Linked DNA regions of Diceros bicornis minor. The protein of the gene in region 1 interacts with the protein of each later gene in a biochemical or structural test. Links are inferred from orthologs where the notes say so. Each region holds a gene or a part of one and is shown in the gene's direction. Other genes may lie near its edges. The genes, in order: PRPF40A and MECP2.

What was found.
Region 2: the proteins of PRPF40A (region 1) and MECP2 form a complex in vitro, tested with the Homo sapiens proteins (2 studies listed by BioGRID, with this or other methods). The link is inferred for Diceros bicornis minor from reciprocal best matches to the Homo sapiens genes PRPF40A and MECP2.

What each region holds. Positions count from the first base shown.
Region 1 is NC_080749.1:36,489,051-36,500,890, reverse strand, and holds the start of PRPF40A (pre-mRNA-processing factor 40 homolog A), read left to right. Parts: upstream 1-7,497; 5' UTR 7,498-7,781; coding exon 7,782-8,183; intron 8,184-9,308; coding exon 9,309-9,440; intron 9,441-11,840. Other genes in the region: ARL6IP6 (ADP-ribosylation factor-like protein 6-interacting protein 6), read right to left, coding at 4,568-4,621, 6,379-6,778.
Region 2 is NC_080781.1:138,162,203-138,173,287, reverse strand, and holds the start of MECP2 (methyl-CpG-binding protein 2), read left to right. Parts: upstream 1-5,450; 5' UTR 5,451-5,515; coding exon 5,516-5,577; intron 5,578-11,085. UniProt on the Homo sapiens protein: Chromosomal protein that binds to methylated DNA. It can bind specifically to a single methyl-CpG pair. It is not influenced by sequences flanking the methyl-CpGs.

The sequences.
Region 1 (11,840 bases):
ATACACTGTCTTGAGTTTTGGCTTAGAAGGAAATAATTTATATGGATGGATGCAGGTTAGTTGGGAATACTGGGTGTAATAACACATGTAAAAAATTAAAACAGTTTTTGGCATACTGAAAAGTTGAATAGTATTATTAATTGTTGAATATGTTATTTACACTTTTCTAAACTGAATTTTGTGCTTTTCCTTAAAGTTTTTTCATTGAGAGTTAAAACAAAAAAGAGATTAAAAAAAAAAACCACCATAATTCCAAATCCCAGATAAACTAACATTTTGGTTGTATCCTTCCAGTCCTTTTGGGCTTTTGTTTTTCTCTTCTTTTGGCCTCAGTCATTGTTCTTTTACCAATATGAGTAAGCAATACACACAACTTTACAAAGACTGTGCTACAGAATAGGATAACTTATTTGTGAATTTTTTTTTTAATTTAATTTATTTATTTTTCCCCTAAAGCCCCAGTAGATAGTTGTATGTCATAGCTACACATCCTTCTAGTCGCTGTATGTGGGACGCGGCCTCAGCATGGCCAGAGAAGCAGTGCGTCGGTGTGCGCCCAGGATCAGAACCCGGGCCGCCAGCAGCGGAGTGCGCGCACCCAACTGCTAAGCCATGGGGCTGGCCCTATTTGTGAATTTTTAAATGAAACACTTGAGCGACCCCACCCAGCTGCAGATAGCACTGTATCATTTCCTTAACAGACTGTGGGCTCAAATTAATGTTCATACATTCATTAAAAAGTTTAAGTTCACAGTTTCAACCATTTTTTCACTATAAAAAGAAAGTGAGTGAGTTGTTCTCAACTTGTGCCTTTCTAAGAGAATGGGTGACTTACCAACACACCCTTTGTCTCAGAACTTTTTACCATGTTTCTAATGTTCTGTATCATGAAATTATGACGGTAGACAGTCTCACTTATCGTTCTGCAGAAGACATAATTGATGAACTCTTCAAATGAGCTGGCTTCAACTTTGACTGAACTCAGTATATGTCAGTCATCTCTTCTCTGTAGATGTGCAGAAGCCTAGAAACATCTCAATCATAAAAGAGGAACTAAATGGGCAGCTCAAAAAGTAAAAAAGCCCTTGACATTGCAAGATGCTAGCAATCTGGTCCTACCCACAAGCGGGACTTAATGTTAACTATTAACTAATAGATATCAAGGAATGACAGGCACCCAAGATCAAGTTCAAAAGCTTTTTAGACACTGAAGGAACTCCATAAAGTCTCATTACAATTTCTGTATGGCACTATTTACATTTATATAAAAGTACTGCCCTACATTTAATTTGATGATAATAGTCTTAGATTAAGTATTTTCTCCTAAAGGCAATTCCTTCTTATGTATTTACTGCAGGTTTGCCTCAAATAAAAAGTCATTTTATTATACCCTATATTAAGACTAGGGGAAAAGATGCAAAAAATTGTAAATAGGACTGTGTGAAATGTGATAAAATACGGAAAAATGTGACAGATGCAAAAGCCAATGTGCAAAAATGAAACAACTCAATGTTGTATATAATTAGTGTAATCAATTTGGCCTGCGAATAACCTTAAAGAGAAGTAACTATAATAGGTTTCACAAGTTTTATTAAACTCCCTATAAAATAGGCTTACAGTAGGGGATGGTTTGCAGGACAATTATAAAAGAAAAGCCCTAAGAACTCTGCAGTGTGATTTCTCCCAGGGGAGATGAGTTCCAAAACCAGCTGATATTATCAATCACACTTTCCTGGCTGGACCACCTCATTGGTAAAGAGGAACACTATGATAGCCTAATCCTATTAGCCATTAGGGTCAATTAACTCCTCAAATGCACTGATATTATGCTCATCATGAACCGTTTTTTTTTTTTCAACTACAAGTAGGGCTTCTCATGAAGATTTCTTTCAGAATGACAAAATGACAAGAGAATGGCAGCATCCCAGCTCCTGTGGAAGTTAGGTTTTTTAACACACATTTGGGCTTATATATTGTTTCTTGTTAGTCTACCGTTAGTCAACTCTCAAGGACTTTACCCTTGAATAAATTTTTTTTAAAAATGAGATTCTGGGCCTGCAGAAGTATTTCTCAAACTGTGGTACATTAGAATTACCTGGAAGATTCTTGGGACCCACCCTGGGCTGAAACAAAATCAACAGGTGCTTTTTAAAACAAAATCTAGGTAATTCTTACACATACCAAAATGAGAATCGCTGCTATAATCTGCTCTTACTGAGCTATGCCAACCTTGGATTAGGACTAAATTGCAATAAAAAAATTTGCAGTGTGCAATCTGTCTACTCTCACGGTAGAGCAGTTACTGTGCTCACATTATTTGTTTCTAAAACCCAACCTACTTTTAAAGAATTGAGGCAATTTGCAATAAAATTTAAACACGAATCACTGAAATATAAAGATAACAACATATATGTACAATAATAATTATGCCAAAAAACAAAGGGTAAAAAACAACACAATCAAACATCACATTAGCTATGAGGTTCCTAGTAAACCACATGAAATACAGTGAAATACAACAAAATCATTATCACTGATAGAAGGCTGCATTCTACTTTTTCTGTCCATAATGGACGACTTCAACAACAGTTTTTATTAAACATTCTGGATTGTTCTTTTCTGTGAAAACTTTTATATCAATTGTAAAAAGGTAAGATATAATTTAACAGGCATTTCTTGGGGAGTAAGCTAATGTAGCAATCTTTCTTGATATCTAAGTTAACAAAATCAGGGTTGATTTAGATGCAAGTCAAGGTTTGAGAGAACTGGCCTATCTTTAACCATCAGCTGTTGTAAGTGGACTATTCAGAGGCTAGTAGTCAATTCAAAACATTATTCAGTAAAGAGGTTAACTAGCATTTTTCTCCCCAACAGGAGAATTCCAGCTTAGGCCAATGAAGGGCAAGTGTTACCTCAGTCACCTCAAACCTTATAAGAGCTTAATCAACTCAATCACTGATTCTCTGAAACAGATTTTGAAGAATCTTATTCTCTTGCTAGAGAAGAGTATTCTCTATCACACGTTATAATGTATATTTGCTATAAATATAACTATGCTTACTTTAAAATTAATCCTCAGGAAACTGACTGAATAGTCCATTAGGTGATGCTGAATATATTCTCCATTTGACCAGTGGAGCATTAGTTCAAAATAAGGATCTTTGTTTTGCCATAACTACCGTTCAGTGGTTTTTTGCCATAAAGATACAGCGGTTTCTCCTCACTCCTGAGATTGTTCCCGAATCTTGAAAGTAAATTCATGTCACTAGCAAAGACTCAGATAATGATCTTCCTATTTGCTGTTATTGTATTAAGCATCTACCAAGTACACCTAAAAGCAATACCAGACTACTTAACTGGAAGTGGAAAAGGAAGCAGGGCAATGACAAAGCCCTATTATACGCCTTTTGATAACAAGCCATTCAAAAGCAGATAACAAATGCCACTCATTCTTTTCATAAATGTGAAATCTTGCCAACTTTTAAATAGCAAGTTAGAATTCATGCCTACTTCATAAGATTTTGTTTCTACTACATCAAGAGTTGACAGATCAATAAATGCTATGAAAAACCTCATAATCTTGGTTGTTTTTTAAGGATGAAACAGTATAACTACATACACTAATAAAATGAGTAAGTAAAAAGTACGTTTTCTCATGCAAGAAGTTGAGAAGAACGTAGACAAGTTTTCAAGGGATATCTAGCAAACTAATTTGTGTGCAATTTGAAGACAAACGTTTTCCTTTGTGCAAAATCAGTCAGACAATACTTTGTATCATCATGAGGGCATTAGCCTTGAAGAGGTAGTCTACACAGTTTAGTTAAGACTGGGGGAAGGGGTGACATGCAAGATAGGATCTCAAACTTTTTTTCCCCAATTTAGAGCAATCAATCAAATAATTATAGCAAATAGGAGTAAAATATGCCAGACAGGTAAAGTTCTGAACTCTTCTAAATCATTTTGGCGGAGAAATAAATACAAGATAAACAACCCTTCAATTTTTCACTAGAAACCTGTAAACTACAGCATGCTACAGTCTACAGAAAGTCTGACTCTTTCCTAGTCATCGTTAACCTGTGCAAGTATGCCTAATGCTTTTCAAATTTTTTTTTTACAAAAGAAGTTGCTTTTAAACAGATTTGAACTTAAATTTCTCCTAAGGTCTACTTAAGATGTTATCTTCGCCAAGTCTGTGAGAAAGTGTGTTTGTTTTTAATTCCTGGGAAGAGGCGTGGGGAGACTATTCCAGAAGGTAATTAGAAAACGTTAAATATTCTCTGGGTCTTAGTCACCCACAGTTGTATTCAAACTGTATTCCTAGTGTGTGTGGTATACCCACTCACACATCACATGCCATACATACATAAAAACAAAATCTAATAAAATTTACCACACACAGTAAGGTCTTTCAAGGTCTTTTCATTAGAAAGGTCTGCAAGATCAAGACTGAATCAAAAGCACAAGGGAATATATTAAGTATTTTATCTAAAATTTTGTAGAGTTTAAATACGATCTGGAAAAACAAAAGTGAGCTCAAAATCAAATCAAGTGACAATTAAGTCCATACCTAATAGCCCAGAGTCTACATCAGCTTCTTTCTTCAAATTCTCAGCATGTAATTCTGTAAATACAAAAAGGTGCTTGGGTAAAAAAGATGATTTTATAATTTGAAAAGTAGCTTAAAGGCTGGGAAGACACTGTAGAGTTGTGGAGAGTGCTTTGGAGTCAGCAACAACCAAGTTCAAATTCTGCTTCCATTTACCAGCTATGTGACCTCCAGTGAGCAAATAAGACATCTATATGAGTCAACTGCCAGGTATATAAAACAGGAATGTTTACTTCCTAATGTTGCTGTGAAGACATTTTTTCTTTTTTGCTGAGGAAGATTGGCCCTGAGCTAACATCTGTTGCCAATCTTTCTGTTTTTTTGCTTGAGAAAGAGTAAACCCTGAGCTAACATCTGTGCCAATCTTCCTCCACTTCATATGTGGGTCGCCACCATAGCACGGCTGACAAGTGGTGTAGGTCTGCACCTGGGATCTGAACCCCTGAATCTGGGCCACTGAAGTGGAACACGCCAAACTTAACCACTATGCCACCAGGCTGGCCCTTGTGAAGACATTTTATGTCATGCAAACTACAGCAGATACTAGGTTTTGAGTTCAGTTCCTTTCTCCATTCTCCAAAATAAGCAAGAATCCATGTCTTCTGCAATGGACTTCCACATACGAGGTTTTGTGACTTTATGATATAAAAGCAATCTCTCAGAGCAAAAGAGAAACTACCTATAAGATGAAACTCTTCTCAGAGGTGCAGTGAAAAAAAGAGGGGAGGGGACTGATAGGAATGAAACACTGGCACCCAAATATTTAACATTGACAGTTTACACCCAATACCCTTTTATGAAAAGGTACAACTTGCACATTAACTTGCCAATCTGACTTCTGCATGAAAACCAAGCATTACCAAGCTGTTAGAAGCCTTCTGCAGCCCACTAGCAGCTTGGAAACAATGAGGAAAAATAAAAACCAGAGCTAAACAGACTACTGAATAGTGAAGTAAGAGTAATACTTCAGTGACAACGCGTTGGGTGCTTTTCACACAACAAACTAAGGTAGTTTTTTTTGTTTGAATTTTTCTTTTTCAATAACTTGGCCAAAATCACATACGAGTGACAAATGAGATTTAAACTCATGTGTGATTCTTTCTACAGTAATATAAAATACCCAACCATACAATCCTTCTGTATAAGCTTTGGAAAACCTTTCAAGGCACATCTTTTCAGACACAGGAAAATAAAACTATTAATCAGAGAAAGAACAGACTACAGCTCCCACAATAGAGCTTTACCACTACACTAGGATGGGAACCCAAAATCGAGAGGGGCTAATTATTTTACCTATAAAAATAGAAACTTGGGCTGAATGGAAATCCTTGTCCTCCAGGAATTCTGTGTGTACATGGGAATCAGACGATAGCACATCTTTAATCATCTGTCCGTTAAAATCTTTGAACATGTATAGCCTATTTTAATTATCTACACACTTTTCACCATCTCTTTTTAATGATGGTTATTCTCCTTAATTTTGCCAGTATTTCATCTCAAGTGTTCGCCGACTTGAAGATACTGTTTCTTCAAGAGTACCCATTTAACTAAGACTTTCTTACAATAGGTCTCCTGATGATGTACCAGGGCCTTCCACCTTTAAGAAAAGAGAAAGCAAACGGGGAAGAGCCAAGAAAAGTGCTGATGAATACTTTAGGTGAAAGCGACTACCACCTCACCGGTCTTTGATGGGGAGGGGGGTGATGAAGGCGAGAGCCACGTCCAGGCTCAACTTTACTCTGGACAGCCTTTCAAGGCCGTAACTACAATACCTTTTACGATCAGGTAGGTGATGGCCAGGAGGAAGGCGAGGAGGATGGCGAACAGCAGCGAACACAGAATTGAGAGGACCTGGACCGGCCACCGCCGAGCCTGGGCTCGGCCGCCCGCCACCGCCGAGAAGATGCCATTGCGCTTATCGGGCAGCACCGGGGACCCATCCCCGTCCGGCGGGAGCAGCGAGCCCCTTCTAGGCTCCGACGACGCCCCGGCCGAGAACTCCGCCCGCAAGTCGCGGGCCACTTGGTCGCATCCCTCCTCCTCGTCGACCTGACCCTCACCCCAACCGTCCCCCTGAGAGAACGCGGAAAACGCCGGCCGAGCGACTGGGAAAGGAGTGCCCAGCCGGCGGCGCAGGGGAACCGAGGTCCTCCCGCTCTCTAAAAACGACATGGCGGGAAAGACGATACGGCGCGCGGAGGCCGAGCGTCTCCCATCCGCCCCGCCCCGCGCTCGCACAGCCAATCAACGGCCGGGGCCCCCCACGGCCTCCACCACCCTGCCCTGGCGCGCAGGGGTGCGCAAGGGTGCGCGGTAGGGCGGGGAAGGTGCCGTGAGGCCCGAAGAGAGACAGGGCGCCCCTGGGCCAGAGCTCGACCCCTTGGCAGTAGGAGGGAAGGAGAGCAGGAAAGCGCGCAGGGAGAGGCGAGCCGAGGCCCAAGACAGCCGAGTCTCCTCTCCCTGCAGTGCTTCGTCCCGGCCAAAGACCTTCGCCACCGCCGCGTCACCTCCAGGCAAGCGCGCGTCCCGCCAGCCCCAAAGCCGCATCTTCCCGACGCCCGGTCCTAGCGCCTGCCCGTGCACCTGTGATTCACATTCCCAAACCTATTTGCTTTCTCCCTTCTTCCCGGCTACGCTCGCACTCTTTTCCGCGTTCCCTACTTAACGGCAGCTCACCGCCCGGCGCTCTCGCCTCGCCTTAACTGCCCACCCCACTTTCCCCTTCGCCTTGTCCTCCCCACCCCTGCCACAACTTCCCTCCACGCAGCTCGACACGCCTCCTGCTCCCGCTCCGCCCCGGCGCGCGCTCTCCGGCTGGTGCGTACGGAGCTCGAACCCTCACCTCGCAACCCCTCCTCTCTCGCCCTCCCCGCCCCCTCCCCTTCGCCTCGAGCACCGCACGCGCGCATCCGGCCACCGCTAACGCTAGAAGCTGCTTATCCTACCCCCACCCCACCCGACCCTACCCCTGGCGGCCTCAGGTTTGTGGGTCGTACGTAACTTGGGCGGGGGGTGAAGGTGGCAGGCCCCACGGCCCCACCCCATACGGGGTGAGGCAGTCTAAGCTCGGGAAGCTGGGACACGGTTATCTTCCCTTCCCGGGGGGAAGTTGGTGGAGTTTTCCCGGCAGAGGACTCGGCGCAGAAACTTCCTCCGTCCCCTTCCCCCCCCCTCCATGCAGGCGACGCCGAGTGAGGCTGAGGCTGGGGGCGAATCGCCGCAGAGCTGCGTGTCGGCAGCTCACTCTGATTGGACAGCGGGGAAGCCTGTCAGCTTATTGGCCCCGCTGATCCCGCCCCGTAGCGCGGGGCAGCCTTTAACCTTTGGCCCCAGCGGGCGCCAGCCACTCAGATCGCTTCTTGTTGGTATGTGTAGCGGCAGTGGCCGCCGGCGGAGCAGTCTGAGCCCGACGATGAGGCCGGGGACGGGAGCCGAGCGTGGAGGCCTCATGGTGAGTGAAATGGAGAGCCATCCTCCCTCGCGGGGTCCCGGGGACGGGGAGCGGAGATTGTCCGGCTCAAGCCTCTGCTCCAGCTCTTGGGTCTCTGCTGACGGCTTCCTGAGGAGACGGCCCTCGGTAAGGGATCGGTGGGGCAGGGGGAAAGCGGCACAATGAAAAACGGAGTCAGAGAGACAGGAAGCTTTAACCAAAAGGAGAAGAAGATAAGAGTGGACGAAGGAAGAGCTCGCGATGGTGGGATATGTTCCGAGGGAGAGAAATGGAGGGCGGGGATGCACAAAGGGAAGGATGTGGGACCCTGGAAGTTCCTAGCGGGCTTGGCCTAGACAGATGCGCGGTGTAGGTGCTGGGCCCTGGGCGGGTTGAGCGTCTTGGAGAGGTAGGCCCGATTTAACAGGGAGGGGGAGGCGGAGACTTGATTCTGTAGACTTTAAGAGAGGCTGCCAAAATCTGTTTTCACCTGTAGTAGTGGTGTCTGCAGCGGAGGACAGCTGGGGGAATTGGCAGGGGATAATACCTGGTTTTAAGACCTGGAACAATGGACACACGAGTCAAGAAAGTAGTTGTCTTACAAAAGCGCATTGAAATGGGCAAATTAGTTGTTTGCATTTAGTGTCTTTGAATGACAGACCTCAATCTTTGAAAAAAATTTTTTTGGCAAAAGTAATTTTACCTGTGTTAGAGATTCTATTAGGAAATTGTGTTTATTTGTTAGGAGTGAAGTGTCTCTGGATACCCATACTGTTGTGTTTTATAATACCAACTGTCATCTGAGTTAATTTGGTAAATTCAGAGTTTTAAAGCTTAGTAAAAGTTTAGAAATAAGTTTAATATGTAGCGTTGTAAAATAACAGTAGGTGGCTATCTTCTGTCTGTGTGAAATAGGACAGAGTTGTGGTTTTTTACTGTAACAGTTTTTAAATTGGCTTTCACATACATTTCCTCCGAGCTTAGCAAGCAAGTTAGTAACTAAGTCAGTGTGCTTTAAAAATAAAAGCTACGATCTGCTGTCCACTAATGATTTTAATTTTTTCCATTTTGTTCTGGAATTTGGTCAGTTGCAAACCCATTATAAATACTAGTGTAGTGCAGTTTATTTAAGATGAGAAAGTATAAGCTAACCCAATAGTTGAATTACACAGCCTAATGTTATACCACTATACGTAACTGAATTATGGGAATCAGATTTTTGAGAAGCATTTATTGTTATTTGCTAATTTTTAAATTGTCCCTGTTTTTCAGATGGGGCACCCTGGCATGCATTATACCCCAATGGGAATGCACCCTATGGGTCAGAGAGCCAATATGCCTCCTGTACCTCATGGAATGATGCCGCAAATGATGCCCCCTATGGGAGGGCCGCCAATGGGACAAGTAAGAATGTTTTTGTTTTGTTTTGTATTTATTTGTTTATTTTTGCTTGTGGTATTATTGTGTCAAGATTTCAAAATCTGGGTCAATATTTGCAGCTGTTTAAGAATTAGTTTATGCCAGAATAACGTTTTCAAATAAGTCAAATGTTCAATCGTGACACTAACCAAATTTTGAATGTAATGAAAAGTCTTCTGTATAAAAGATTTACTTTCTACTGCAACAAAACTAAGAGGTTTTTTTTTTTTTTTAAGTTAACAGTGTACATCTAGGCTTTTTAGTTTAAAGACTTTCTTTCCCCCAAGTATGTCAATTGATGTTAATGTTCTAAGAGTAAATATTATCTGATAGGTCAACATAATTTATGTCGGTGGACCATGTAAATGCATAGAATCGGAAAATAGTAATTGTTTAGGCATTTGGCTTAGAATGAATTTTATTCCTGAAATAGCTTCCTCTTGTGTGTATGCGCGCGCGAGTGTGGTGGGGGTGGAGGTGGGGAGGTTCTATTCTAATTTGATTCTTCATAGCACAGTGCCAAATAAGTAGTTCATTTTCCACTTACACTATTTTGTTTGTTTTTTTAAATGCTTATTGCTTCTGCACTCCTGCTTTTGAGCTGTCCCTTCCATCTCCAGCATAAATTGTAAACGGACATTTTGTAGGAGTGATTTGGATCAAAAGGTTTTAATGCTGACTCAGTGAATTCAGTAGAACTGAGTTCCTAGAGAAGCATCCAAGAAAGGTAACAGGTTCAGTTACCATGAATAATTTTATATCCCCTGTTAGGGTCTATAATAAGAGTATGCTTTGGTGGCTGAGTTCTTTCCATTTGAGTATCTCAATAAATCATCAAAAATTTAGGCTAACAAAACATTTTGGAAAGCCAGTCAATTAGGTATGATCTTTCTGCTAATTAATACTGTTTACTTTGATAATTGTTTAAGCCTTGATGGTTTAAGTTATTGGTAAAATTGTAGTGGAGAAAGGAGCTTGCTCTGTCTCTCTCTCTACTTAACTTTAAGAGTAGACGGGCTTAATGTCAAGTGGTTTTCTTCCTTATAATATAGCCCTTAATTTTGTGTAAAAATCTTTATTTGAAGGCACCAGGCCCAAAAGATTCTGCCTGTAGCAGTTCTTTAAATAAAAGAACCATTTATTCTGTTACTCTAAAATATCACAAGTTTTACAACTCCCTAGGTGATGGAGAAACAACTCTGATTCCTCTTCTGTTTCTTTCCATCTCTAAGCAGCAAGGAGCTCTTCTTGTTTTCTTAGTAGAGCTGCTCTAACTAGATAATGAGCTTTAAAAAATATTTATTCTTTAAATGCTCTGGTTCTTATTTAAAATTAGTTTCTTTCCACAGAAAGATAAAATAAAACAATTTGCTACTGCCAGATGCTTCTCTCTTTTCTGGGGCCTTCTGTTTCCATTGGGCCAATCAAGGTAAGTTTTGCAAGGGATGACCTGCTTACCCTTGCTGTAATGGTGCTATTGCACTACCAAAACCAAGATACCAGCTAGTCATTTCTAGTAAAATGCAGATTTCATTTTTTTTTTTTTTTTTAAGTACTTTCATGTATCTCATTGACATAAGCTGGTCACAGTTTGCTTTATGGCCCTTTCTCCTTAGCAATATCAGTGACCATCTTCCTAGTAAGGTTACTTGCTACCTGGTATACATCCATTCAAATACTCAGAATTTTACCTTGTGGTTTTATTCTACTTTTTTTCTTAGGCCAGTATATGCCATGTGCCTCTAAGTGTACCTGACTTTTAGATGTTTAGAAGTCTGTCTCTCCCTTTTGGCTCCTGTTAGGATAATAAATGAATGTCTTCAGAGTTCAGCTGTGGGGGTCCCAAGAGAATCCTCCTTGTTTTTTTCTTAAAATTAGATTATTCCTTTTTTTTCTTCTTAACATCTAACTAGCAAATATGGGGCCTAAAACTAATTCTTATTTTAGCTTTAATAACAGACTGGGAGGGCATGGATAATTTAAATGCTCAAGTAATCCAGAAATCTAATTTAAAGTTCTGTAAACAACTACTTTAAAAATAAAGTTGATAATTAGTAAAATTGATCCTTTTTTCTGCATCATTTCTTCTGTCTACCCACTCTGGGAAGTATTAATGAACAGTAAGTGGTCAGAAGATGAGAAGAAGCAGGGTGCCTGTATATAGTTCACTGCAGTGACATAAAGTTGGTAGGGTTCTACCATCCAATTTTAAAAAGTTAATCACATTCTTTAGACTTTGGGACTGAAAGTTATGGAACATTCATGTATGTTGCCTAATTCACATTAAGATCTCATTCTGGGACCAGCTGAAGGCTAGAATTAGTGGCAGTCCTACTTGCTAAATGATTGTGGTCTTTGTAATGTTACTGAACATGATGAAATTCT
Region 2 (11,085 bases), on another chromosome or scaffold:
AGAATCAATTCATTTCTTATCTATTTACCTATTTTCTAATAAATGTAGTTAAGGTTATTAATTTTTCTAGATGACCACTTTGGTCATACAGCATAGGTTTTAATAATTTTTTTTTAATTTTTATTTATTTATTTTTCCCCCAAAGCCCCAGTAGATAGTTGTATGTCATAGTTGCACATCCTTCTAGTTTCTGTATGTGGGACGCGGCCTCAGCATAGCCAGAGAAGCGGTGTGTCGGTGCGCGCCCGGGATCCGAACCCGGGTCGCCAGTGGCGGAGCGCGCGCACTTAACCGCTAAGCCATGGGGCCGGCCCCTAAGAGGTTTTAATATGTAGGGCTCTCACTGTTGGTCATTTCTGAAGAGTTTATATTGAAGCTTGTTTTTAAACTTCCAAGTGGAGAGTGGTTTTGCTTTGTTTTACTTTGGCCCATTCTTTTGTTTCTAAGTTTGAATTTTAATGTATTGTTGCCAGAGAAGCATAGTGTTTGAAACAAATTTGAGTTATTTTGTGGCATCATCTGGGATGTTAGTTCTAAAATTTGGGACCGTCTGTTTTACCCTTCTCATTTTCCATTGTCATTTTGGATTTGCTCTTCTAAAAAATACCTATTTGCTATCAGTTCAAGGGAATTTTAGACAGATGGAGTAGAAGTTTGTGCTCTGTCTGCCATATCGATAAAATCCTTCTGGTTGTTGGTTTCCTGTCAATTGCTTTCTACACTATATTTTCCTGGATTTTATCTTCTACAGTCCCATTTTTAAGGAGACCCATTTAAAAAATGTTATAGTTCCATTTTTTTAAAATGGCCCAGTTTAAATTTTACTAGTAGGGGCCCACCTAGTGGCGTAGTGGTTAAGTTCGAGGGCTCCAGTTTGGCAGCCCAGGGTTCACAGGTTCAAATCCCTGGCTTGGACCAATGCACTGTTCATCAAGCCATGCTGTGGTGCCATCCCACATACAAAAAATAGAGGAACGTGGGCACAGATGTTAGCTCAGGGCCAATCTTCCTCACCAAAATAAAAAAAAATTTATTCATAAATACTTTTTTTTTAAAGCTAGTCACTTTATTTATTTTTATTTTTTATTTTTTAAATTTTATTTATCTTTCCCCCAAAGCCCCAGTAGATAGTTGTATGTCATAGTTGCACATCCTTCTAGTTGCTGTACGTGGGACGCGGCCTCAGCATGGCCAGAGAAGCGGTGCATTGGTGCGCGCCCGGGATCCGAACCCTGGCCACCAGCAGCGGAGCGTGCGCACTTAACTGCTAAGCCACGGGGCTGGCCCTATTCATAAATACTTTAAACTCTATATTTTTCTACTTTTCAATGGCAAGAGTGAAATTGTATCATTTAAGTCTCATTTATTCAGGGGCCGGCCCGGTGGCACAAGTGGTTAAATGCACGTGCTCCACTGCGGCGGCCCGGGGTTCGCCAGTTCGGATCCTGGGCGTGCACTGATGCACCGCTTGGCAAGCCATGCTGTGGCGGTGTGCCATATAAAGTAGAGGAAGATGGGCATGGATGTTAGCCCAGGGCCAGTCTTCCTCAGCAAAAAAAAGAGGAAGATTGGCAGATGTTAGCTCAGGGCTGATCTTCCTCAAAAAAAAATAACTCTCGTTTATTCAAGCTAAGGAATTTAGCAAGACTCTCTTCATTGGTTTTCTCTTTTGAAAATGTCTTGACTTCTAGTCTTGTACACTTACTCTTCCTGATCAAAAGTAACTTGTTGCAGTCTATAAAAACTCCTGGATTTTGACTAGTGCAAAGAATTTCCAGATTAATTTATGAGGAGATGACATCTTTATGATGTCTACTCTTCCTTTCCAGGAACATGGTAGTTTCTATTTTTTTTTCAGGTCTTCTTTTATGATTTCCAGTAAATTTTTATTGTTTTTTAATGTAGGGATTTCGGCATTTCTTATTAAGTTTATTCCCAGCTGTTTTAGAATTTCTATAGCTAGACTGAGTTGAATCTTTATTTTTTCCCATTACTTTTTCCAGCTTTTTATTACTGGCTGGGTCTATATGCCTGTGTCCTAACAACCAGGGAATAGACTTGAGATTAATGGGTCTCTCTCCTCATGGTGAAACTCCAAGGATGAGGTGTCAAAGAGAATGGGAGGAGAGGACACTTGGGTGTTATGTCCCACGGATGATGTTGCACCTTAGCTCTTGTGCTGTTTCTTGCTTTGTTCCTACTTAACACCATTAAGTATGATGTTTGCTCTAAGGGTTTTACAGATATTACCTTTGATCGGACTAAGGAAGGCCCCTTCTATTCATAGTTCCCGAAGATGTTGTTGTTGTTGATTATAAGTAGGTGTTGAATTTTATCAAATGCTTTTCCTGCATCTAATGAAATAATCATATATTTGTTCTCCCTAAATCTGTTAAGGTTGATTTTCTAATTTTTTATTTTATTTTTTTGGTGAGGAAGATTCCCCCTGAGCTAACATCTGTGTCAATCTTCCTCTGTTTTGTATGTGCGTCGCTACCACAGCATGGCCACCAACGAATGGTGTAGGTCTGCCCTGGGAACTGAACTCAGGCTGCTGAAGCAGAGCGTGCCAAACTTAACCACTAGGCCAGGTGGCTGGCCCCTGATTTTCTAATTTTAAACCATCTTTGCATTCTTAGGAGAAAACTCAACATGGTTATGATATATCATTACATACTGCTGGATTCAGTTTATTTGTCTAGAATTTTTACATCTATTTCTATGTCTTCTGTCATACTTTCATTGGCTCCTTATAGTAGTTACATTAGTCTCATAAAATAAGTTTGGAGAGATTTCTTTCTTTTCTGTTTATCACTGGAATTACCCACTCATTAAAGATTTGGCAGAACTCATCTGTAAAGCTCTCTGAACTTTTTTGGGAGGGGGAGGGTAGATTTTAAAATATATAGTCAATTTCTTTGTGGTTATAGAGAGCCTGTCCAGGTTTTCTGTTTCTAGAATCAGTTTTGGTAAGCTGTGCTTGTCTGGGAAGCACATTTATTCATTTTGCTTATGTTTTCCAATATACTGACATACAGTTCTTCATAATAACCTTTTAAAAATTTATCTGTTTTATCTATTATCTAGTGTATAATCTATTGTATCTGTGGTTACATCTCCTTTTCATTTCTAGTGCAATTTGCTTGTCTCTTATCTCCTTATATCTAGCTTGGTAGTGGGTTGGCTTTTCAGCTTTTCAAAGAATCAGCTCTTGATGTTCTCAGTCCTCTCTATCATTTGTTTCTGTTTCATCAATTTATGCTCATTTTAATTTTTCTTCCTTCTAGTTTCTTCAGGTTTACACTGTTGTTCCTTTTATAGCTTCTTGAGTTGGATGTTCAGCCTGTTGACTGCTTGTTGACCCAATTGCCTACTCAACATCTCCACTTGCACATTTAATGGGCACCCCAGGCTTAACATAGCCAAAACAGAATTCTTGATCTCTACCTCCAAAAATGTGCTTTTCCTACAGTTTCCCCCATCATGGTGAAAGGCACCCTTTCACTCAGTTTCTCAGGCCAAAAACTCAGGAATCATCCTTGTTTCTTCTCTTTCTCTATACCCTACATCCAATCCTCTCTGCTTGTGTTTTTTTTTTTTTTTGGTGAGGAAGATTAGCCCTGAGCTAACATCTGTTGCCAATCCTCCTCTTTTTGCTGAGGGAGGTTGGCCCTGAGCTAACATCCATACCCATCCTCCTCTATTTTATGTGGGACGCTTGCCACAGCATGGCCTGACAAGCGGTGCACAGGTCTGCTCCTGGGATCCGAACGTGCAAACCCCGGGCCACCAAAGCAGAGCGTGCAAACTTAACCACTACACCACCAGGCCAGCTGCATCGATTTTGAAAACATTGCTTGAATCTCACAACTTCTCAGAACCTCCACTGCTACCACCCTAGTTAAAGCCACTATCACCTCTCCAAGACTGTCGCCAGGGCCTCCTGACTGGGCTCTTGCTCCTAGTTTTCTCCCACCATGGATAGCTCTCCACACTGCACCTACAATATAGATCTGATGATGTCAGCTCCCACTTTAAAATCCTCCAAGGGCATCTCATCTCAGAATAAGCTCCCAGTTCCCATGGTGGCTCCAGATGCCTCTCCAACTGCAAACCCTATCACTCTCTAGCCCTTGTTAGTCCCCAACATGCCAGGCATAGTATCTCCTCAGGGCCTTTGAACTTGCCAGGGATGTTCTCTCCCCAGAGATCCATATGGGGAAATAAAACGAGGGCAAAAGTCTATGGATATCTAAATAGCAACCCCTTCACCCTAGCTTTATCTATCTCAAAGCCCTTATTACTATATGACATTATATTATATGCTTATTTGTATGTTTAGTATGAATCTTCCCCACAAGAATCTTAGTTCACTGTCTTGTTCAGTACTGAGTATCCAGAGCCTGGAATAGTGCCTGGCACATAGGAGGTATTTAATAAATGAATGGGTTGGGGGAGCCAAATCAGAATCAGAAGGTTCCTTGTTAAGCACAGAAGCAGCACAAGGAGCATTAGATGAATTGGATGATGGCTGGATCAGAGTCAGGTGGCTTTGACAAATAGTCCTGTCCTGATCACCCCGTTGGCTAAAACTTTTCTCATACTCTTAAATATTTTTCCAAAACGGAACTGCTGGATCTTAGCTCCCAAATCATCTCTTCTAGGAAGTCTTCCCTTTTCCCTCGAGGCAGAGCTAAGTGCGATTCCTCTGTGCTCCCACTGCCCCTTTTCCACGCCTCCACCAAACCATCTGATCCACCAACGACAGGACTCGTGCAGCCTTGGCATGCACCGTCTTCCCCCACCAGAGGTTCACGAAGGCCAGGGCTGTGATTTGTTGTCAGTTTATTCCCTGTCCCTATGAGAGTGTGGCACAAGGCAGGCTCAGATGAAAGAATGCAATGGGTAAGCCTCTTAAACCAAGGTCCCTCGGCTGGAACAACGTCAGGCTCCGGGGCAGGCAACTTTGCTGCTTCTACTGAAGATGATGACATTGAGAAAATGCAGGTGCAGTGAACCGCTTACTGCCGCGTATTTTGGGCGTTTGTGGACAGCGCGGGTCAATGGCCCGGGAGGGCCGCGCAATCAGGCGTCCGAAGCCTAGGCCTTTACTCGCCCCAGCATCCGCAAGGGCCCATTAATCCTTAATATTCAAATTCCGCCCACTAAACCAGCCCCTCCGCGCCCAAGCCACCTCTTTTCCCCCAAATGACGGCTGACGACAGCCAATCGGCAGCTGGACAGGGAGTCCGCCCCCTTTTCCCTGGCCGGAATGGACACCAACTCCCGCCAATTGGCGGCGTCACCGCCGAGACCCCGCCCTGCCCCAGCCGCCGCACCCAATGGCGAGCGGGCTCGCGGCGGCGCCGGGGGCGGGACGCGGGCACGCAGGTGCAGCAGCGCGCAGGCCGGCTGGGAGGGCGGGGCGCGACGTCGGCCGTGCGGGATCCCGGCATCGGCGGCGCGCGCGCTCCCTCCTCTCGGAGAGAGGGCTGTGGTAAAAGCCGTCCGGAAAATGGCCGCCGCCGCCGCTGCCGCGCCGAGCGGAGGAGGAGGAGGAGGCGAGGAGGAGAGACTGTGAGTGGGACCGCCGCGGCCGCGGGTGGGGACCCTTGCCGGGGGGCGGGGGGTAGGGGCGGGACGTGGCGCGGGAGGGGCCCGCGGGGTCGGGCGACAAGGCTTGCGGATGGCGTCCCTCCTCTCTACCCTCCCCCTCCCGCCGCCGCCGGTGACGGCTCCCCCCTCGGCCCGTCACCCGCACTTGCGGGTGACCGTCGTCGGCGCGGCCTCCCAAGGCCGCCGTCGCCTGGCGGCCCCCTTCCTTCCGCCCGCCTTCGGCGCGCATCCCGGCCCCTTGCCCGGCAGGCGCCCCTGTTGCCCGGGCTTCGCCTGTCGGGGCTGCGCGCGCGTCGTGCCCTTCGCGGGGCTTCGGGCCCGCGGCGCCGTCGCGCGCCCGCGGCCCCGGCCTCTCCCTGGATCGCGCTCTCCCCTCTCCCTCCCTCGCGCGCCCCCTCTCCCGTTACTCGGCCCCCCCACCGGCGCGCGTGCGCAGTCCGCCTCCCTTCGGGAGAGTGCGCCACAAGGGCTCCTGTGCTCTCACCCCCATCTCCAGGCTTTGCCTCCCCCTCCTTCTCGCCTATTCCATGACTTTCTGCCCCCACTGCGAGCGAGTCGGTCCACCATCTCTTTTCCCATCTAGCAAGAACAAGTAGGTGGCAATTATCGTCCACCCACAAAAGGGACTAGACAGTGTGTTCCTGGTCCCACAACTCGTCATAAAGAGGCGGTTATAGTTCCCTTTAGGAGCCGTGGGTAGGGCAATGTGTGTCCGGCAGCACCTGAGGCTCTTCGGTGGGAGCATGCCCCCAGGGTCTTTGGGGGTGCTGTGGCCTCAGAATATGAGCGCCTTCCCATCCTCCCCCCCTTCACCAGCGATCTTCCAGTTACATAAGTGGAGTGGGACATAGTATGTAACGGGCTCCCATAGACCTGGAGCGCGCCCTGCTCAAGATCACCAGTACCAGATGAGGCAAGTTCATCGCATCGCTGTGGTTCCTGTCAATTGTCCCTGAAAGTTTGTTTTCTTTTTAGTTTGGTTATGACTGAATCACCCAAACTGAAACTCAGGTGACTTTTATGTGGCGTGCCAGTGTTTGTGTGGTTTTGCACTGAAGACTTAAGGTCATTGTGAAGAGTCTAAAAAGATTGCTCTCACAGAGGAGACCGACCGACCGTTTATGACATTGCTAAGTGTGGACCCGAGGGGGGAAAAGCTTGCTCTGGAATACCTCTGTGGCGGTCGCTTGGTGTGGATTGGTTACAGCAGAAATGGGCTCCACCACAAAATTGATATTCCTGACTCATGGTCAGGCAGATGTGTGCTTCTGGTTATTTTTCCAGGAACAGGAATGGGCTCTGCAGAACCATTCACATGTTGTGCCTCTCCTGTGCAGGATCAGTACCCCAAATAGATGGTAGGATGGAATTCAGGGGGTGGTTGTGATCGTGGAACCAAACCTACCAGCGTGTGATGCTAAGTGGCTTAGAATTTGTAGGTCTCTCACAAGTTTTAGGTATTTTGTTATACTAGAAATATGAAGCATATTTGGGCCTTGGTAGTAAAACTCACTGTTAATAGGCAATTATTACTCTAGAGGATAAATTTGGGTTTCATGGCTGGAATTTTTATCTGGATCTCAGTGATTTCAGTTAACAACGAGATTAAGCTGACCTCTTGGGTCTTTTGAAGTATGCTGGATCCTTACCAAAAAAAGCCCAAAAAACAAAAAACCAGGGTCTGGATTTTTTAGGTCTTTTGGAAATCTCTATCAGAGATATAGGGAAATAGGCTTATTTATGGGCTTTTTAGGACTTCTACTTCAAATCTCAGTCAGGAAGCCTATGAAACACTTTTATTTTCTTATCCGGACATGTCAGAACCTTAAAGGGCACAATCAATCTGGTAGACATACAGTTGATTAAATAAGTCGCCACAGATCACCCTATCGTGGCATGTCAGCTAGGTGGCAGATCGGTGAGGTTCATTCTTGTCCACACACAAGACACACAAGCCTCGCTTGACGAAGGTTCCAAGGTTTGTACCTCTCAACCTGAGACATGACAGGACGAGGGCTCTGCTTTGTTATGCTTCATTGGCAATGCGTTTGCCTCCTCGGGTGCCCCTCCATTTAGCTGTTGGTCGTACCCTTAGCCCTTTAAACAGCACAGCTTCCAGAATATAGTTCTCTGCAAGGTGCCTGGTGGCATGTAGAGTGTGTGTCCTAATAGCTCGAAGAAACCTTCTACACTTTCTTGCTGGTACTGGCCTGTCACCCTGTCTTTTTCTTGTTGTTACAAATTTGCCTGGAATGCTTTAAACCTAGAGTACCAGGTCTTTGTTTCACCTGATAAAGCATGACGCAGTCAAACCTTTCTCTGACTTTTGTGCTGTTTGTGTATTGGGAGGGTTAGAATACAATTTTGCATTCTATTTGCAATTTCCAGCCAGAGTCATTGTTTCCCCGCCTGCCCTGCCTGTGAGTGGCCGAATCTAGTGGGGTGAGGAGGCAAGCTGTGGAGTTTGACAGAAAAACTGGCTAGATGAGTCCAATATGATGTTGCCCCCACTGGAATACTCCTTCCCCTATGTGGAAATGGAATGAGAAGCTCACTTCTTGAACCCAAAATAAAGAAGAGCAGAGGTGAAATAGTTTCCACCACTAATGCCTGGGACTGTTTGCATGATAAATGATGTGTCTTGGAACCCATAATCTTTTAGAAAGGTGAATATCAGTGGAAATCTTTTAATTAGCTAGGAGCAGTTTGTCGCCAGGCTGCCTGAGTTATCTATGAGGAGAGAATTGTAGAAAATGTTTGACATTTGTAGTAACTAGTGTTTTAAGCACATGGGGTAAAAACATAGTCCTAGACTGGCAACAAGTTCCAGGGAGTGTGGCAGGACACCTGCTTGTTTTCACTGCCTCTGCAGTGGTGACATGCGTGCAGACCAGCTTCGTGTGGCCGGCAGACACAACCTTCTTTCTTGGGTAGAACATTATTGCCACTCCGGCGGAAGGAGCTTATCTTCGGTGCTTCTGTACCAGCCTTCTCCAGTCCAACTGCCATTGTCACCACTGTACCTTCAACTCATTTCGGGTAGGACAGATGTAAGCAGGTTCCTCTTCCTTGGGCTCAGTTACACACAAGTTGTGCTCTTCTGCCTTTACCTGCTCTCTTCTGCCTTTCTCTTGCAAGAAACTTTTTCCTATTGAAACCTTGATTTGCATGCTATTGCTTAAATACTTGGTTCCACCACTTTGATGGTAGGTATGGTGTGAGGGGGAACTGAGTGGGAATGGGGATTTGGAGGTGGGCAGGGCAGCCCCACTCCCATGTCAAGGGGGGGCCGTGGTCGTTCTGTTAAGAGAATAAAGCCTTGGCCTTTGTAACTTCTTCAGGGCACACTTCTGTTGGGTATGCTGGCATGGGAATGTGTCCTCACCAGAGCTGTTTTGCAGTTACTGCAGAAGTCTGTACTCTTGGGAGCAAGCCTTAGGAAGGGTTCACTTGTCTTCCTTGCCTAAGAGCTGAGGGCGTTCTCTATATGGACCTGCAAATGACTGCTTTCTTGGGTTTTCACCTAACTGCTCTCATTTGCTGGCTCTTTTTTCCCCCCATGAATCTTGAATTAATCAAAGATCTTAAACTTTCAGAACTGGAAGGAACCTTGGTCCAGCTCCCTCAGTTTACAAGTAAAAAAAAAAAAAATGTGGCTGTGAGAAGTTGTGGCTTTTCCAGAGCCTCCCAGCCAGGATACCAGTTTGATTTTTATTATATAGCTAACTGAGTAATACTGTTACCTTGACTTCTGGGGTTTCACAGCATTCTATGACTCGACTGTTTAAGGGAATTAGAAGGCCTCACTGCACCTCAATAGATAATTCTAGGTATCATCCTGGTAGTTATAGACGAGCCATAAAAGACTTGGTTGGTGTTGCCCTTCCTCTGGGTTTGAGTACATGAGTAATTGTGTGAATGGCCTCTAAGTTGTACACTTAAGGCTTTTTTTAGTCTAAAGATAAAAGTGCTACTCTTGGGCCAGCAAGGTATCAGAGATTAGCTAATATGGGACAGTTTAGATTTTAACAAGGAACCTATGGTTATCTTAACGATGAAAAATGTAATGACAAAAGTCCTTCTTTGAACGTGTTCAAAAGCAAAAGAGAAACTATCAAACTAATAACTCAGTTTGTTGAACATTGCAATTTACTGCTCTGAGAGGCTCTGAAACAGACTTGCAGGTTTTGGAGGATGGCTTTGACTCTCCCAGAGCACTTGGTTTCCATTGGTGCTGCTTTTTTTCTCGCAGGGTTAAAGCCCCTTTCCGTGATGTTACAGCAGCTCGTTGCAACTTCAGCTGCTTGAAAAAGAAGGGAGGCTTTGCCTCTGGATTTCACGTGTTCTTTTTGGAATGACATTTTGATGTTGCATGTTCTCTTGAACATGTATTATCTCCCTGCGTATTTCTGTATGACAGTGCAAGAAGTGCTTACCAGAGATCACCACTAACGGTATGCTTTATGGTGTCACAGTGTCCCTCAGAGGTGACAAGACCTGTGATAGTGCTGATTCTAACCCGCATGAATCTTTCCTTTATTTTAGCCCTGTGTGTTATGTGCCAGTCATTTGCAGTGTGTCCTTTGTTTCTAGTTAGGTAAGCCAGGAAATAGCCTAGTACTTTGTCTGTAGTTTATCTTCACAATGTCCGCATAGTCCTGGGAAAGAGGTCGTGCAGCACAACGGGGGCTTTCAACTTACGGTTTTCTTTGTTTTAGGCTCCATAAAAATACAGACTCACCAGTTCCTGCTTTGATGTGACATGTGACTCCCCAGAATACATCTTGCTTCTGTAGACCAGCTCCAACAGGATTCCATGGTAGCTGGAATGTTAGGGCTCAGGTAAGTAACCTTCCTTTTTTTTTTTTTAGTATATGTCCTGGTTTGGCCATCTGTTTTTAAAAAAAAAAAGGAAAAAAACAAGATGTACTACTCTTGGACAGTATAAAAGTACCCCAAAGATTGAAGACATAACTGTGCCAAACTGTGCCATATAATAAAAAAAAGTCACTTCCCTGAGCCCTGAAATGTCAGTTTGGGTAGGGTTACTTGGTAGCCACAGCGTGATCTGGGGGCGGGCGTCAGATTAGAGCCGGAACTGGTGATCTGCAACTTCAGTTCACCTTGAAGCAGGTCAGCTGCCCTGAGAGCGCTTTGACTGAGCTCTTCACCTGCCGCTGCCATTGTTGCCCAGCGGCCTTCAGCATGGTGCTTTGTTTGCTTTGGTTTGGGGTAAATGACTTCCTGGTCAATGTTAGTGGGCGGTGGTAATGCATTTTCAGAAATGGGAACTGGTGTGTGGCCCCCTAGAAGGATGGCCTCCTGAAAGCTGTCAGAGAACAGGAGAGCCCACGGCTGATGGCGTTTGCCGCACTCCTCCCGCAGGAACTAAAGAGAGCACCCAGATGCAGCTGGCTCTTGAGACTCTAGAGCAGAATGAATGCCTTTTGAAAAGCTGGGGATCCAGGC